4 linked regions of the Saccharomyces cerevisiae S288C genome follow. Changing the gene in region 4 together with the main gene of any one other region gives a genetic interaction. Each region holds a gene or a part of one and is shown on either strand. Other genes may lie near its edges.

Evidence for each region.
Region 1: mutations in QCR9 (region 4) and REE1 together harm fitness more than expected from each alone (negative genetic interaction), as found in Saccharomyces cerevisiae (2 studies listed by BioGRID).
Region 2: mutations in QCR9 (region 4) and NCE101 together harm fitness more than expected from each alone (negative genetic interaction), as found in Saccharomyces cerevisiae (2 studies listed by BioGRID).
Region 3: mutations in QCR9 (region 4) and AIM33 together harm fitness more than expected from each alone (negative genetic interaction), as found in Saccharomyces cerevisiae (2 studies listed by BioGRID).

What each region holds. Positions count from the first base shown.
Region 1 is NC_001142.9:20,557-24,891, reverse strand, and holds REE1 (Ree1p), read right to left. Parts: upstream 1,760-4,335; coding exon 1,163-1,759; downstream 1-1,162. Other genes in the region: oligo-1,6-glucosidase IMA5, read left to right, coding at 1-551; YJL218W (acetyltransferase), read right to left, coding at 2,329-2,919; hexose transporter HXT9, read right to left, coding at 3,692-4,335. UniProt on the Saccharomyces cerevisiae protein: Functions in the galactose metabolic pathway via the GAL83 protein and that it may control the level of ENO1.
Region 2 is NC_001142.9:49,119-53,178, reverse strand, and holds NCE101 (Nce101p), read left to right. Parts: upstream 1-2,735; coding exon 2,736-2,767; intron 2,768-2,910; coding exon 2,911-3,040; downstream 3,041-4,060. Other genes in the region: RCY1 (Rcy1p), read left to right, coding at 28-2,550; YJL206C (uncharacterized protein), read left to right, coding at 3,244-4,060. UniProt on the Saccharomyces cerevisiae protein: Involved in a novel pathway of export of proteins that lack a cleavable signal sequence. May be part of the export machinery or may also be a substrate for non-classical export.
Region 3 is NC_001145.3:93,186-97,595, forward strand, and holds AIM33 (cytochrome-b5 reductase), read right to left. Parts: upstream 2,185-4,410; coding exon 1,246-2,184; downstream 1-1,245. Other genes in the region: SCF ubiquitin ligase complex subunit UFO1, read left to right, coding at 1-1,056; ALO1 (D-arabinono-1,4-lactone oxidase), read right to left, coding at 2,606-4,186.
Region 4 is NC_001139.9:857,659-861,415, forward strand, and holds QCR9 (ubiquinol--cytochrome-c reductase subunit 9), read right to left. Parts: upstream 1,819-3,757; coding exon 1,816-1,818; intron 1,603-1,815; coding exon 1,405-1,602; downstream 1-1,404. Other genes in the region: protein translocase subunit TIM13, read left to right, coding at 629-946; E3 ubiquitin-protein ligase UBR1, read right to left, coding at 2,243-3,757. UniProt on the Saccharomyces cerevisiae protein: Component of the ubiquinol-cytochrome c oxidoreductase, a multisubunit transmembrane complex that is part of the mitochondrial electron transport chain which drives oxidative phosphorylation.

The sequences.
Region 1 (4,335 bases), on a different chromosome or scaffold from region 4:
TTGAGCAAATCAAATGCGTTGAAGGTACTGGTACATATGCCGCCATTAAACGTGATTATGGTGAAGATTCTGAAAAGATGAAAAAGTTTTTTGAAGCATTAGCTTTGATCTCTAGAGATCATGGGAGAACACCATTCCCATGGAGTGCTGATGAGCCTTCTGCAGGTTTCTCGAAGGATGCCAAACCATGGATTGACATGAATGAATCATTTAGAGACGGAATCAACGCAGAAGCTGAGTTAAAAGATAAAAACTCAGTCTTCTTTTTCTGGAAAAAGGCCTTACAAGTTAGAAAGGAGCACAAAGATATCCTTGTTTATGGACATAACTTTCAGTTCATTGATCTTGATAATGACAAGCTATTCATGTTTACAAAGGACACAGATAACAAAAAAATGTTTGCTGTTTTCAATTTCAGTAGCGATAATACGGACTTTTCAGTTCCTGATAATGAGGCCTCCTACACCATGTTTTTTGGCAACTATGCAAACTCAAATGGTGATTCCCGCACCTTGCAGCCATGGGAAGGAAGACTTTACTTGTTGAAGTAACGAGCACATTTAACATAAACGTACTGATCTTTCGAAACAAATAGTTATGCCGATATTTATGAATAATAAACTTGTATATTTCTTTTTACTTTTGCTTTTCATATGTGAGCATTGGATACTTAACTTACGCTGTACGCTATTTTCAATTGCAATTTATATATGTATATAGAAGACAGAAAATTCACTGAACCTTTTTCCGAAGAAATATAAAATAAAAAGCAACGTACAGCAGAAAAATAGAAAACATCATTATTACTGTTTCTATTGTCTAAATTTAGCCCTTTAAACCCCATCATCATAAGTACTAATTACCACGAATTCAATAATTAGTAAATACATTCGACTATTCTCACCCTAACTTTCGTCACTTTATCTTAAAACACTAGCTAAAAGTCGTTTATTATAACAAAACTAAAAATTTCGTAGTATGCACGCCTTATTGCCCAGTATTTTGTTAACTGTATGGATTGTACTAGTAAAAAAAATCTTGACGAAATTGAGTATAAACAAAATTTTAAAAAGCATAGTGCCAAATCAACAGATCTTAGTGAGGTGCAGGCCTTGTTCTTAACAAAAGCAAACCCCTCTTTATATATTGATATATAGGTGAACTAACTCAAATCATGTAAAGCTTTTCCTAAAGGAGCTGTGAGACTCCATTCCGAGAAAGTAACTTTCAATCCGCCACGCTCAGGTGTGCAAGCCATTGGTCCAACAAGGTAATGGTCAGAAGTTGGAAATGGAGCCAAACGTACTAACGGCCATGTTTTTTTATCAGAGGACACCTGAATCCTCAAAACGCCCTTTTCAACAGTAACACGAAGCCAGAAATCGCGAGCATTTCCGCCATAAACAGCAGTTGACCAATCTGATTTTCCATTTGTCAAAACACTGCTTAGCATTGCGTGGCCATCAGAAATTTCTATGCCAGCTTTGAGCCAATGTCCATCATCTATACGAACCATGATACCAGCCTGATCATAAAGACTCTCGTAGCTTCCCTGAACACGGACTTGTGCAGTAAAAGCACTACCTGTCTCTACTCCCAAAAAATGACCGCTATCACGGGTAAATCCGTAAAATGTTTCACGCCAAAAGTCAGTTTTTTCATCTGTTTCCAGAGTGACTTTTCCTGCCTCTTGAAAAACAGATTTTGGCTTATTGAGCCATGTTCCTTGCGATAATTCAGTATTCTTAGATTCGACCATTGTGTTTGGTAATTTATCTTGTTTGATGGAGAAGCCGTCACTTGGACTTTTGTTAATATTAGGTCAGGTTAAATACCTAGGAAATCTGTGCGTATAGGATCATCCCTTTCTAACTCCATCGAAAATGTTACTTGTTTTGTTCGAGGCTATTTGATGACCCTTTCATATGGACGCATGCAGGTGGCCATATTTTCAGTTTAAAGTTTCTCCGCATGTTAATTTGCGCTGAAAAATTAGAACGGTACTTATTTCCCCGAAAATTTCTCAAATCCGAACATAAAGCTACCAGCCACGCGTTTTCTATACGGTTGGAACTTGAGCAGTTTTACATAAGTTGTAAACTATAATTTTCTCCTCGAAGATAGATTATACCAGAAAGAAGCTACTATACACAGTCGAGTTGAGAATGAGCAACTTAAACCAGAACATATACCAATAATTAATAATCTCTCTGCGTATTTAGTCGACTAAAACTGAACTAGCTTTTTATTTATTCTTATAAGAAAATACGGTACATAATCATAGAAGACAACACTTGCTTTCGATAATTCCTCCAGAAAGTGGATCCATCATTTTCGATAGTTTGTAGTTGTACTATCTTTTTCAGTGATCTTTCTTATCACCTTACAAGGATTACCTGCTGCCACTACATTTTCTGGTATGTCACGAATCACAACACTACCGGCGGCAATCACGGAGTTTTTACCTATATTTACTCCAGGAATTATTGACACTCCACCTCCAATCCATACATTGTCTCCAATGGTCACAGGCATGGCATATTCTAATCCTTGAAGCCGTCTTTCCACGTCAATTGGATGACCTGCCGTATAAATACCAACATTAGGGGCGATAAATACGTTGTCACCGATGACTACCTTGGCCCCATCCAATATAACAAGATTGTGATTGGCGTAAAAGTTGTCTCCGATATAGATGTTACTTCCGTAATCACAGTAAAACGGCGGTTCAATTATAAAGTTATCAGTGCAACTACCAAGTAATTCTCTTATTACCTGGCTCTTTTTATTCTCATCAGCGGGGCTAAGGGTGTTGTATTCGTGCAATTTTATTTTAGTCTCTTTTCTAATTTTCAAAAGATCTGGATCATAGTTCGCATCATAAAGCTCACCAGGTACTATATTTTCTAATACGCCCATTTTTCTCTAGAAGCCTTGTTTATATGCTTATTAGAATGCTTCTCTATGTTCTTGTTGTAGTACGTGAGATCTCACTCTTTATACTTGCGTCTTTTCGAAGTAATGCTAAATAGTGCCTGGCCCAGCGTCACAGGGTGTTTAACGAGCGCGTACTATTTGTGAATTTTTTTGGGCACATTGAAAACTTTAATTTTTTAAGTTATTCAGGCACGGCACACTATGACAGGAGGTTACGTCGGAGAAATAGCGTTATGGCCGATTGTGAGAACATTTAAGAAATTTCAATCCATAACAATAAAGTGGCAGTGTCACCTAAAATATTAGTACCAACTTGCCCAATTGGCAGAAGGAAAATAAGGATATCAGGCCACCGACTTGGTACTATTTTTTTATGGTAAATGTGTACTTTTACTAAGCTTAATTTGAAACAGACGTCATATGAATGTTTCTGGGGCTACTTGTTACAATTCTCGGTCCGCAACAACTGAACTCTGTACTGTTCTGTCTCAATGCTTGGTTTCTTGAATGGAATTTCACTCCACCCTTCGGAACGTTACAAAATTTATACATTTTAAAAATTATTCATGAGAGAAAGATGCTATAGTAATCTGTTCACCCTGTCAACTCGTGTAGCTCATGTTTATCATATAATTTCTAGTTCTATAAGGCATAACAAATAGTCCGTTAAGGATTAAGGCGTAAAAAAGTAAATATTGTATATAATAAATAATTAAGTTCATGTATTTTTTTCCAGTTACTAAAAACCGGAAGATTAGCTGGAAAAGAACCTCTTGTAGATTGGTCTATCGTCATGGTCTATGGCGTCAGCATCGTAATCTGCGGTTCTTCTTTCTGGTGGCACCCATGAGGCTGATTTCCATGCTGGCACACCTTCCAGCCACATAGTATTCACCTCCTCCAGCGTCAGGCCTTTTGTTTCTGGGACAAAGAAAAAGACATAAAAGTATGCAAAAACCAGACAGCCTAAGAATACATAACCGTAGTAAAAGTTGATTGCCCCGGTAATGAATGGGGTAAAGAAACTAATCAGGAAACCCCACATCCAGTTTGCAGCTGTTGCGATTGCCATTCCTCTTGATTTGACCCTAAGAGGAAACGTCTCTGAGACAATAACGTAACAGCCGCCTGCCCAAGTGGTGGCGAACGAAAAAATGAAGAACATAGTAAACACAATCATACAGTTACCGGCGCCCTGAGAAGTAATGTCTTGGTGACTGCTTCCTTGAGGCCACAACTTTGTCACACCGACGGAGGCAAACACAGCAAAGCAGCATAGCATAGAAGCAGCACCCCACAATAGACACGTACGGCGTCCAAACCTCTCAATGGTGTATACCGCTATGAATGAAGAGAAAAAATTAACCACACCGATAATGATCGAAGTCTGAAAGGAGT
Region 2 (4,060 bases), on a different chromosome or scaffold from region 4:
ACAAAAGCTTTTGAGGAAATCGGTAAAATGGATGATCTGCTAAAAGTTCCCGAGATTGTAACCAATATTGCCTCATATTTATCTACTGTAGATTATCTGAGTTTTCAACAAGTGAATAAACGGGTTTATGCAATCATTAACGGCAAAAATGATTCAAAGTATTGGTCATTGAAATTGACTAGAATGGGTCTCCAACAGGTGCATTCAAATGAAGAAGAAGAAATTACGTTGCTGGATGAAAATGATAATCAAAATTCCCTTCGCATCTTCGAAATATACAAATCTTTCACTGCTCAAAATTCTAAAAAAATCTTTGTGAAATTTTACCGTTGTTATAACTCATACGCTAGGAAGCTATATAATAATAATCTAGCAAATTTCTTTCCTACTTCATATTCCAACGATCCGTTGAAACAAACAAGAATTCTAAATTTTATCAAAAAGTACAATTTCTCGAATAAAAATGATATAGAAACATTTACTAGGATTGAAACTAATTTCAACATTCTTAGGGAAATCTTCATTAATTCTGTTCTCAAAGAGTCAGAATTGAATTACCAGTCTAATAATTTAGCTGCCGTCGCTCGTTTCATGAAAATTTTATTGATATCTAATGAGGAAAGCAATGCTATCGAATTTTTCAAGTCAAAGGCTGATTTGCCTCCCAGTTTAACGGTTTTGCCGTCTAATGATGAATTATTTTGGGCCGAACAACCAAGGGAAGAGGACAGCGGTGGGAGTACCGTGATATTTAATTCTAAAAATTTAGATACGTTTCTCAATCAGCTAAGGGATTTCCTCAACGAAAAGATTAAATTAGCGGACATTTTATTCAAAGATGAGTTCCCTGTAATATTACAGTTCATCGAGTCCTTTATCCAAGATATTTTATTAGATATTTTAAACAATATCTTATTAAGCTATAGTGAATTTTTAAAAGAAAATGGAAAGGATAGTAAAGCCAATTATGAATGCGTACCCGAACTTTATTTCACATTTATAAAAAAGTTTGATACTGAATTAAACGACTCAGTAAACGCAGGCGCAAATTTCCGTAAAGTTGTTCGTGACCTTTTAAACCTGTATCTCGAGCCCTTTGTTGTCAACTATATGAATCAGACAACTAGAGTATTTGAATCATTGATCAACTCACAATTAGCTAATTATGACACACAAGTTCAAGACAAGCAGCGTGAGCAAAACGCAAAAATTTATAACACTTTAAAAGATCAAACGGATGCTTCGAGTGCAAGTAACAATGAATTGCCGAATGACCTCTCAATAATTACTGAAACCTCCAAAACTGTCCCAGAAGCGGATTCAAAACCAAGTACGATCCATCAATCAGTTCATTCAACTGATATTTCTAATGATAAACTAGACTTTCTAAGTTCCTTCACCAAGATTTTCAAGTTCTCGAACAATGAAAATCAAAGGCTAAAGCAACAACTACAACTAGCCTACAACTTAAATTTAATTTCCAATAACTTGCAAAACATTAAATCGTTAATAAGTCTCGATTTATGTTACAAAATTTTACAGGAAACAAGCGAAAAGACGGATCAAATTTACAAATTTCATACGATTGAAAGTTTGCTACCATTGATCAAGCTACGCTGTCAAGAGATTTTCAAAATTTTAATTACACAATTGAATAAAAATCACGTTAAACCTGCATTTGAAAAGGCAATCCTGCTACTACAAAAATATAATCCTAACGAAATAGAACAAATAGAAATAAAATTCAATTCACTTTCGCCAGCCAATACTCAAGTCGAACCTTTAGTACAATTCACTGAACTTATCAATATAGGTGACATAATATTACAAATGATTTCCATTTTTTACAAGAACGAATTGATTCCCAAAAAAATTATCGATAAAAATAAAGATTTTCTTAATGATGTTATCCAATTAAAAAAAAATTTTGAGACTTCTATCGATGATTTTGTAGCCGAAGGTTTAAATATCGGTATAAACAAACTAATGGATGAAATCTCATTTGTATTCAAGACTCTTCAATTGCCTGACGATTATAATCCACCGCCACCCTCTAGGAATTCTCCAATAAGGGATATAAAGCCAACCAAATGTGCTATCAGGGTAGTCGAGTTACTTTCTAATCATTGCTTTCTACTGACTGGTGCCACAGACAAGGGTACTATTGACGTGTACCAACAAGAAATTGGCGAGAGATTCTTTAATGAAATCGTCAAACATCTGAAGAAGTGCTTCATATCTACGGAGGGCGCAATTTGGTTAATCTGCGATTTAAATTACTTTTACGATTTTATTGCTAACAAATTAAAACAAAAAAATGTTGTTCCCTATTTTGTTGGGCTTAAGTCTATTGGCCAGTTATACATCATTTCAGGCAAGGACTCGAAAGAGTTGGGAAAGCTTATTTCTGATCTTGGGAAATTCAATGGCATTTTTACGCAAGAGGAAATTTATGAATTTGTTCAGAGGAGAAGCGATTGGGTTCGTGTACGGAAAGACGTTGAAAAGGTAATGTACGGCCTAGGCATACGAGATTGCTGCATTATGTAAATTCCTATCAATGATTAATTATATTACTCTATATAGGTATGAAGTGCGGAAATAAAAGACTGTTCACATATTAGATTATTCAAGATTACGCGGGCTCTATTTTTCCCTGTTAGCCACACGCACACAAGGGGCATACAAATGTTCACTCCATTTATAAGAGGATTCCACACAAGATCATCGATAACATGGTTCAGTACGCTCCCTTTCTATTAGGAAAGTATGTTCATTCTTCATACGCTATTCTATTTTTTTTTTTTTCACACTTATTCTTTTACTAACGCATAGTTAACCATTTGCTGTTTCGAAGAGGCAACATCAAACAAGTCGATGTGCTCTTTCCCAAGCTGGTCTCTATTGCAGATTTTCTGATCCGTTATTGGCAATTATGGTAGGCTGTCTCAGCTACTATGTGTACGAAAGGAAAATGGGGCGTCCACAAGGTCATCATTTACACGAGCTCATAAAGAAGCGATGGGACGATCGCAAATAATAATCCGGCGTGAGGGGAGTATATATAAGTTTCTGGCGATATGTAAATACCATAATAATTAATCCTAGGATCTACCTTTATACGCATTTATCCTATAAAAACCCAATCTTTCAGATCCACAGTATTTTTATATGTGTGATTTCCTTGATTGTCTCAATTTAAAGAGTAATACATACAACTTAGACCAAAGAATTATTCAATAGATGACGCCGAAAGAATCTGGAAAGCCTATTTCGTGTGCAATGAAGAAGTTGAAAGGCAAGAGATCTAAGATTTTGGTTTTATCTAGAGATGCGGGCACCAACGAATTGAAGCCAACGAAAGGAAGAGCACATCGAGCTTGCATAGCTTGCAGAAAGAGGAAAGTACGATGTAGTGGTAATATACCATGTAGACTTTGCCAGACTAATAGTTACGAATGCAAATATGATCGCCCCCCACGGAACTCATCGGTATTTGATAGGGAAGTAAGCGATGATAGTTCCTTATATGCACAGAGAGCTTCCCACGAACGGGAAGATAGCAAGGGCCCTATAAGTTCCATTGATTACAAAAAGGTTGTAGAGACGATCTTTCCACCTGAAACACTCCGTCAAATACTTGCTTCTTCTTCTTTTAACAGCCAGAATTTTTTGGACACTATTAAAACGTGTCTACTTCAAGGACAATTAAATGTTAATCAGGTAATACGTCAAAGTCTACCAAAAGATACGCCTTGGCACATGCAAACAAGTGTTCCATTACCACCCAGAGAGATTGCCTTGAAATTTATTCAAAAGACCTGGGATTGTGCCTGTGTGCTATTTAGGTTCTATCACAGACCTACTATCATTTCTATCTTGGACTCGATATACGAAGCAGAAAAACATGGCAAGCAATATACTCCAGAACAAGTGAAAACACAACCTTTAATTTATTCTGTTTTAGCAGTCGGAGCCCTTTTTTCTAAGGAAGATCTCAGCAAGGATAGTAAAGCAACTAGGGAATTTTACACTGATGAAGGCTACAGATACTTTTTAG
Region 3 (4,410 bases), on a different chromosome or scaffold from region 4:
AATTTGAGAAAGTTGGAGATGCCTGAACAAATATGCGCAGTTGAAATAGATGAAAAAACTTCTCAAAGGGAACAAAACTGGCAATTTGCTGGTGATGACGGCTGCTATATCAGTCTTTTGACGACACAGAACACTTTATACATTATCAATATAAGAGATCTTTCTTCGTCAGGCTTAAAAGTTCAATGTAAGATAAGTTTTGATGAGCAGGTATACGTATCGCAGGTGACAAATTTAATAGTTGTGGTAGCATTGCCAAATGTTCTTCAAATATTGAACGCGATGACAGGCGAGTTAATAAAGACAGTGTTGAAAACCGAGAAGTTTCCCGAATTTTTGAAGGTATCGCAGGATAAAATCATTATGGGAAGCGGTAACGTTTTGAATTATTTAAAGTTTGTTTCAAGTGATTCAAAGAAACATCACCATTCCACTAAAGGTAAAAACACAGTAAGCAATAAGTGGAATGAAACTTTGAACACGGAGCTGCAATATTATGATGAAGATGAAGACCTTAGAAGAAAAAGACAGTCAGAAATATCAAGATTGATCGATGCGTATGGTGGAGACCTTGAACTTTCAGGCGACACCGATGAAGAAAACGACATTCAGTTGAGAATTGCACTCTTAGAATCACAGGAGGCGCAAGCACGGAATCAAGCTGAAGCGGGGGAGCCTGTCGGAGATGATGAAGATGAGCAGTTAAGAAGGGCGCTGGAGGAATCTCAACTGATATATGAGACGCAAACGAATAGCTCTGCGAATCATGGTAATAATACGAATGATGAGATAGATGAAGATGATGAAGAGTTTCTCAGAGCCATCAGACAATCAAGAGTGGAGGACGAAAGGAGAAGACATCTTAGAAATCATACTACAGGTCGACGAAATGGGCCCTTGAGCGACGATAATTTTGCTACATATGGTGCAGCAGAGTCATCCGAACGAACCTCAACTGAGAACACTATCGGTAGTTCTGTTGGCGTTGATGCTAGTAATAATGTTGATGAAGACTTACAATTGGCCATTGCGTTGTCATTGAGTGAAATCAATTGAAAGTATGTACATTTGGAAGAGCATATGTTAAATATTTTATTTATAGATTTTTCGTTGTGAAATATTATTTTTTTTTTTTTGAAAAAAATGTCGGACTTTATTCCTCCTAATTATTAATAAAATACGAATATATATCTAAATATAATTAATGCTTATTTACATGAAAAATCATCAATCGTAAACAGTTGATTAAAAAACAAAAACTTTATCGGTTCCATTACCTTTGTGAAACCCATTACTCCACCCCAACTCCTTTGCATAATTCAAAACCATTTCATTCATTTTAGGTGGTCCGCAAATCAATAAACGATGGTCCTCCGCTTGTTTAGGTAGGTATCTTTTCATTTCCTCTAGAGTTACGTACCCAACATCACCGTTCCATTTACCGTTTGGCTTATGAATTACATAATGAACTTTAAAATGCGGGTACTCCTTAGCCATGTGGTCTAGTTGCGATTTCATGAGAATGTCATCCTCTGTTTCGTTTGCGTATATCAAAGAAATGTGTGTTAGGTCTTCTGGAGAGGGTATGATTTCTTGCAGCACTTGCAATACAGGGGTTATACCAGACCCCCCTGCGATTATACCCAACTCTGTTGCGGTGTCCTGATCATATTCCAGCTCACCTAACGGCCCTTTAAATTCAACATACTGGCGAATTTTTAATTTATCAAAATACTTAGAAACGACACCATGTTTATACGTCTTGACTACTAATTCCAAGTGACCCTCCGTATTAGGAACATTTACTGGCGTATAGTACCTCACTAATCGCTCACCATTTATTGTAACCCTTACTGCCAGGTGGTATCCCATGGGAATATGCAATCTTTCAAATGGGTACTTTAACTTGAAGCAGTACAGACTAGTATTACGAGAAATGCGGGTCTTCTTGGATAGCGGTAGCGCGACCCATTTATTTCTGTAAAGAGATTTATCAGTTCCAATCGAAATAAACGCTGTGGCATAAAGTACTACGAATTGCAGCAATGAAACGACCACGATTCTACCATTTTGCGTTTTCCAAAAGTAAAGAGGTGTAACCACACAATTCAGAAGCAATCCAGTACAAAATGGATAAAACGGATTTGTCGAAACAAAAGATATGCATGTCTCTACTATCGACATTGTTGCGAATGGTTGCTTTTTACAAAGAAAAAATGTGATATGAGTTAATACTAAACATACTTAAATCCTAGAGAGAAAAAAAGTACTGCAATATATACAGCACTCAAAATACATTTCTATCTGATTTCTAAAAACTTCCCTGTAGATGGATCTACGTTACGCCATGCCGATGTTTCGTTTTTGCTTATACGACCAATCATTACCGCGTTCGGCTTTTCCAAAAAAAAAAAACTATAGTAAGGATAATGAAAAGAAAAAAGGGTCCCATGATTACTAAAAAGCTCTAATTCAAAAAAAAAGTCTTTGATAGGCAGCTAGGAATAGTTATTAGAATGTACATGAACAGTCATCACACTGCTATATATATATATATATATATTCTTTTTTAGTAAAATATAGAGATTATTGAGACAAAAAGAGACTAGTCGGACAACTCACTAGGATCTATAATACCATTTATGATAGCCCACTGTTTGTTTGCCAAGAATACATTATCGGGATCTTGCTCCTTTCTTATTTTCCGGAACTTTTTCAAATCCTCGCCATACCATTCTTCAACCTTCAATGCCATCCCCCTCATTTCAAAGTCATCGTAATCAGTATCCTTTTTCACTGGTCCAGCAGCTAGAGTGGTTGAGCCTAGGAAGTTCTTGGCCCAATGTGGCTTACCTCCCGCTACCATCATAGTATTTTCAAAAAGGGTAAACCATTTATGAATTGGAGTATTACAGCCAAACGGCCTATAAATGGTAGCATTTATGTACAACGTCAACTGACTGTTGGTAACATTTTCCAACGGAGCAAATCTGCAATGGGATGGTGTGTTATCCAGGAATGGGCGGCACACATTGCCATAAACGGGACCGGGACTGGTGTTTGTTCTCTTGCTAGTATCCAAGGGTTCAGAAGGTAATGTAGTATTTGAGCAACGGACTTCCATAGGCACGTGGACATAAAATTCTTTGTTTATGGCAGCCTGCGCAATAGAATGATCCAATGAACGTAAGACTTCCAAACCATTATCCATAGGGCACCCCCATTCATCAACAAATTGTGAAAACAAACAGTCCATATTAAATCCGCTGATAGAATCGGTAACATTAACATCACCAGTAGAGCTCTTCTCCAATTTCCCGTATTGCCTGTTGAAAACGAACTTTTCCACAAATGGGGTTAATGGCGCATAGATTTTGGTAGAGATCCATAATAGAGTTTCGTAGAAAAATCTACCCAGCTTGGTACCCCACCATGACTTGGCTGGACCATTTTGGGCATCTGTAGTTTTGTTACCCCTCCATAGAACACATTTTCTAGTATAAGGGTACCACCAAACTCTGATAAATTCAGATGAAGTCCATAGGGTATCCCATTGCTTCAAAAGGTTTTCAAAAGTAATCACTTCTTGAGTGGATTTAATATTGAAGCCGGGAACAACCCTGATAGTAGCAGAGACAATGATACCAATTTTTCCAACTGAAAGTAAAGCAGCTTTAAAGACTTCTGGATCGTTTTCAGCATCCAAGAACTTCAATTCGCCCTTACCATTAACAATAGTCAAGTTTACGTATTGAGAAGAAATCAAACCGTGATAAGGTGAGGAACCATGACTACCAGTAGAGATTATGCCAGCAACACTTTGTTCTGAGATAGAGCCTAAATTTTGGATAGAGTAACCTTTCGCACCCAAAAATTCATTCAATTGGTAAAGCCTCATACCGGCATCAACTGTGACATCGGCATAATGTAACTCAGGATATTCAACAAACTTTTGTACTTTGTCCAATCTGTCTAAGTTAACAAGCCATTCATCAGTAACGCACATGTTACTAGGAGAATGGCCCGAACCAACAGTAACTAAGCTTTTTTCAGCTAGCCTGGCACTCTTTACTAACTCGACAACCTCATCAATTGAACTTGGTTGGAAGTAACGTTCTGGTTTTGCAGAATAAATTCCGGCCCAGTTTTTGAACACATAGTTCTTTCTAAATGGGATAGTAGACATGGGGTGAAAAACCTGATAATATCGGTAACTTTAATTTTACGGGTTCTTGTTTTACCTTCTAATGAATTTTAAGTTTTGAAAAGCAGAAAATCAGATATTGAAACTATAGATCTGCTTACCTTGAAGTTCACTATTTTTGGAATTCTCCTTGCTAATAGTTACTTCTACTCTTGCTTTGTCCTGGATATCAATGGAAGATGTCCTCATTTCCATTTTTTTTTTCA
Region 4 (3,757 bases):
GAGAGGATGGTAACACCGCGGTATCACCCACTCGCCCAGCCGTTAAATCCAATCATCCGAATAAAATGTTTGTCCTTGCTAGTTTGTCCTGGTGATAAAAGCCATGACCACTTTTCTTGGAGCCTGCATCTGTTATCTCTCCCGTCGATAATGGACTTTGCACCGGTGTATTACCCGCAAGAATTCTGATAACGTTCAAGCTAAAACAAAACTGCTAAATGAGTTCTGAAATGGCATTTATGAGTACATATGATAGATTTGCTATGTATCAAACCTGGAACTGGCGCTAGCGCTATGGTTTCACTTCCTCATTAAACCATACCCTTGACGATTTGACAGGTCGCTACAGATTCAGAAAGAGATCATATCAATACAACAAATAAAATATAAGCGAATAAAGAGCAATGTCTTTCCCCTTTAGTCACATTACTAGCCAACGCTAATTCTTGATCTCCTTCCTCTTGTTTCCGGTGTATCTTAGTTTTCCTGGCGTTGCCGAAGAGTAAAAAAATCCTAGGTCCTAAGATTTATAAAATCGACAAAAAGAGGATTCAAGTAGGATATCTGTCAGTTCAAACCAATCAATCTTTTCTCTCCAACAACAGTTTGAGCTTATTTAATCAAGAAAATGGGTCTATCATCTATCTTTGGCGGCGGTGCACCATCACAACAAAAGGAAGCAGCCACTACTGCAAAGACAACCCCAAACCCTATAGCCAAGGAGCTGAAAAACCAAATTGCTCAAGAACTGGCTGTGGCTAATGCGACTGAATTAGTGAACAAAATTTCTGAGAACTGCTTTGAAAAATGCTTAACTTCGCCATACGCTACCAGAAACGATGCGTGCATTGACCAGTGTTTGGCTAAATATATGAGAAGTTGGAATGTCATATCAAAGGCTTACATCTCCAGAATCCAGAACGCCTCCGCTTCTGGCGAAATCTAAACACACCATCAGGATCAATTTACTGCGCAGTATGTACTCGTACTTGTATATAAGATTCAAAGGATACCAAGAAAATGCTATTACGTTTAATAACGTCGAAGAACAGTATTGCACTATACTTGCTTGGTATAGATATGTACAAAATATATGTATATACATAAAATGAGTTATTCTTTTTCCTAATTCTCTTTTTCCTTTAGTAGAATATAAAATTATAATAAGGATTTTGTGAACATCTGACAGACAGGCTCGTTCGTGTCTATTTCCATTCTGAAATTTGAATGCGCTTTGGCGAGACATAGATTTGTGTCAAAATATGAAGTTGAGTGCCTTTATGAGGTTGGGTTGAACATGAACAACCAGCCAAAATAAAAAAATAATAAATAAGACGAGTGCCACTTATATAGCTTGAGAGAGAGAGAGAGCGTTTGCACGTATATGTGTGACATAATCAGCGTTTACTCATCATCGTCGTCTCCATCGCCTGCAGCTATTCGAGCCTTGACATCTTTCCATAATTTTCCTTTGTTGTGATTCTCGTACCATGAAGTAATAGCAGTATCAAATACAGTTTGGAAAACAAAGGCACCTGCAAAGATAGTACCAACAAAAACAGCGTTTCGTTTGAAAAAGGTTTTATATAGTGATGAAAAAGACTACTCATAATTTATGCATTGTTAGTAACCTGAATGGAAACGCATGGAACATATTCATAGAGCTGCTGTCACCAATTTCATAAGCTTCGCTAAGTCGTTGCGCTCATCGGTGGGAAACTAATTTCCAAAGCCCATGATACTTGGCTAAGGAAGATTCCACGGATAACATTTTTAGCCTGAAATGTGAAGCAGCACACACACACACCAACATACCATTTTAGTCCGTATTGCTATTGTTGCTTTACGAAATTGCGAAGGATATGAAAATCAACCTTCAACGATTATTGACTATCCGTGACAGGACATTAAATACAACTGCTAAGCTAAAGTTTGAGAGGGGATGTCATTAGGGAAAGGCCCAAGGATTGAGCAGCTTTTAGGTCCTAGAATTCTTTCGGCATTGACTTCCCCGCGTTTGATTGGGTCGTGTATAATGATACATATTAACAACTGGGGAGTTCAAAAGTTGCCTTCGCTAGATAAGGAAACTTATGATAGTCACTTCGAAGTATTTGTAATTAGGTTGGTATTACTTCTTTGTTAATAATAAATAAAAGTCAATCGACGCGCAAATGTTTAATAATGTATAAGTTTTTATATACAAATATGTCAACTATAAAACATAGTAGAGGGCTTGAATCTACCAAATCTCTCGCTCATCAGAGTCATCATTATCATCAGAGTCATCCTCATCGAGGTTTCTTGGATTTGTATTTCTTATGATAGTAGCTCCATCAAATTGAGGTCCTAAGAACTGCAATATTGGTGGGGGATTCTGAGGTGCATCATCATCGCCATTTCCCTGCGGTTGTAGAGTGTTCCTAAAGTTTTCGAAGAATTGGAAAAAATCACGTACTCCGCCACCAGCAATACCTTCTGCGCCAACCCCAAATAAGTTGGCGGCCTGTCCAGTTTCATCATCAACATCCATTTCGTCATTTCCCTCCGTAAAAAACCCGTCTTCTCCCTCTTCCATATCTTCATCATCTTCATCTGTTGGAGGTATTCTTCTTGGCCTTGGTTCTCTATTAAATGCAAACAAGAAACCATTGGAAAGTATAGTCACTCGAAATTCGTCACCCATTACTCTACTAATATAACCTGGAATTTCATTGTTAATCCATAATCTGTTTAAGTGCTCATATCTTTTCAAATTCAAGGTGGTTAAATCACCTCTTCTCATGGCATTTCTACCAACTTCACCATGCGAATTTAGATATGGTGCAGATATAAAAATATTAGAAGGAGGCTGTGTCAAATGGAGACAAACTTCACTTGAATTGGGCATCAGGAAGGCGCCAAATGGTTTAAAACAATTTTTATTCAAATGCTTGGTCATTTCATGGCGGTCCGCTCTTAAATGCACTTTGACACCACATGTCAAACATATTTTGAAATCTAATCGATTATCCGCATTCTTCATATGCTGAGAACGCTCTTCACGTAGCTTGATTTCCTTAGATTGGGTAACGTAAGTATTCAAATATTTTGATAAATCTATCAGTTTTATAATCCCACAATATTCATATGGGATGTTCTCCAAATATGGATGCGATACAATGGACTCCTGCGTTGTCAAAAGATCGACTAAGGATTCTTTTTCAGTAATCATTTTCAATGCCTTATTGACAAACTCGGCGGTATCTTCGAATTCCAGTTCTTCTTCAACCTCATGACCGTTGATGACCAGCGTTTCATTTTCAGAATCTTTCACTAATTCGTGTAGCACTTTGATAAAGACTAAGCACCTTCTTATCGTAGGAAGAAGACTCTTCAACAGGAAGGTATAAGCTAGATCATAAATAATACTTTCGGAGTCCAATCCCTCCATTCGTACATCAGATATGGTCCTTAGGGCGAAGAGCATCTGCTCACTTACTTTAAGAACATCCCCAATTTTGGACGCTTTAGCATACAATTTGGTAACCTGTTCTGCATCAGAAAGACCCTGAAGAAAATCTCTTAGAAACTGTCTAGAGAACGTTGTTAACGCCTCTGTAACAGTCTGACGAAGTGAAACTGGAGAAAATAAAGCGCTTCGAACAATATATTGGAAGAGTTGATTTTGGTTCCAAACAGTATCGGGCTGCTGCGGGTACGGTTCAAACTCCATACTTGGCTTGCCTATGACAAAGGTGAACAGCATAATGCAGAC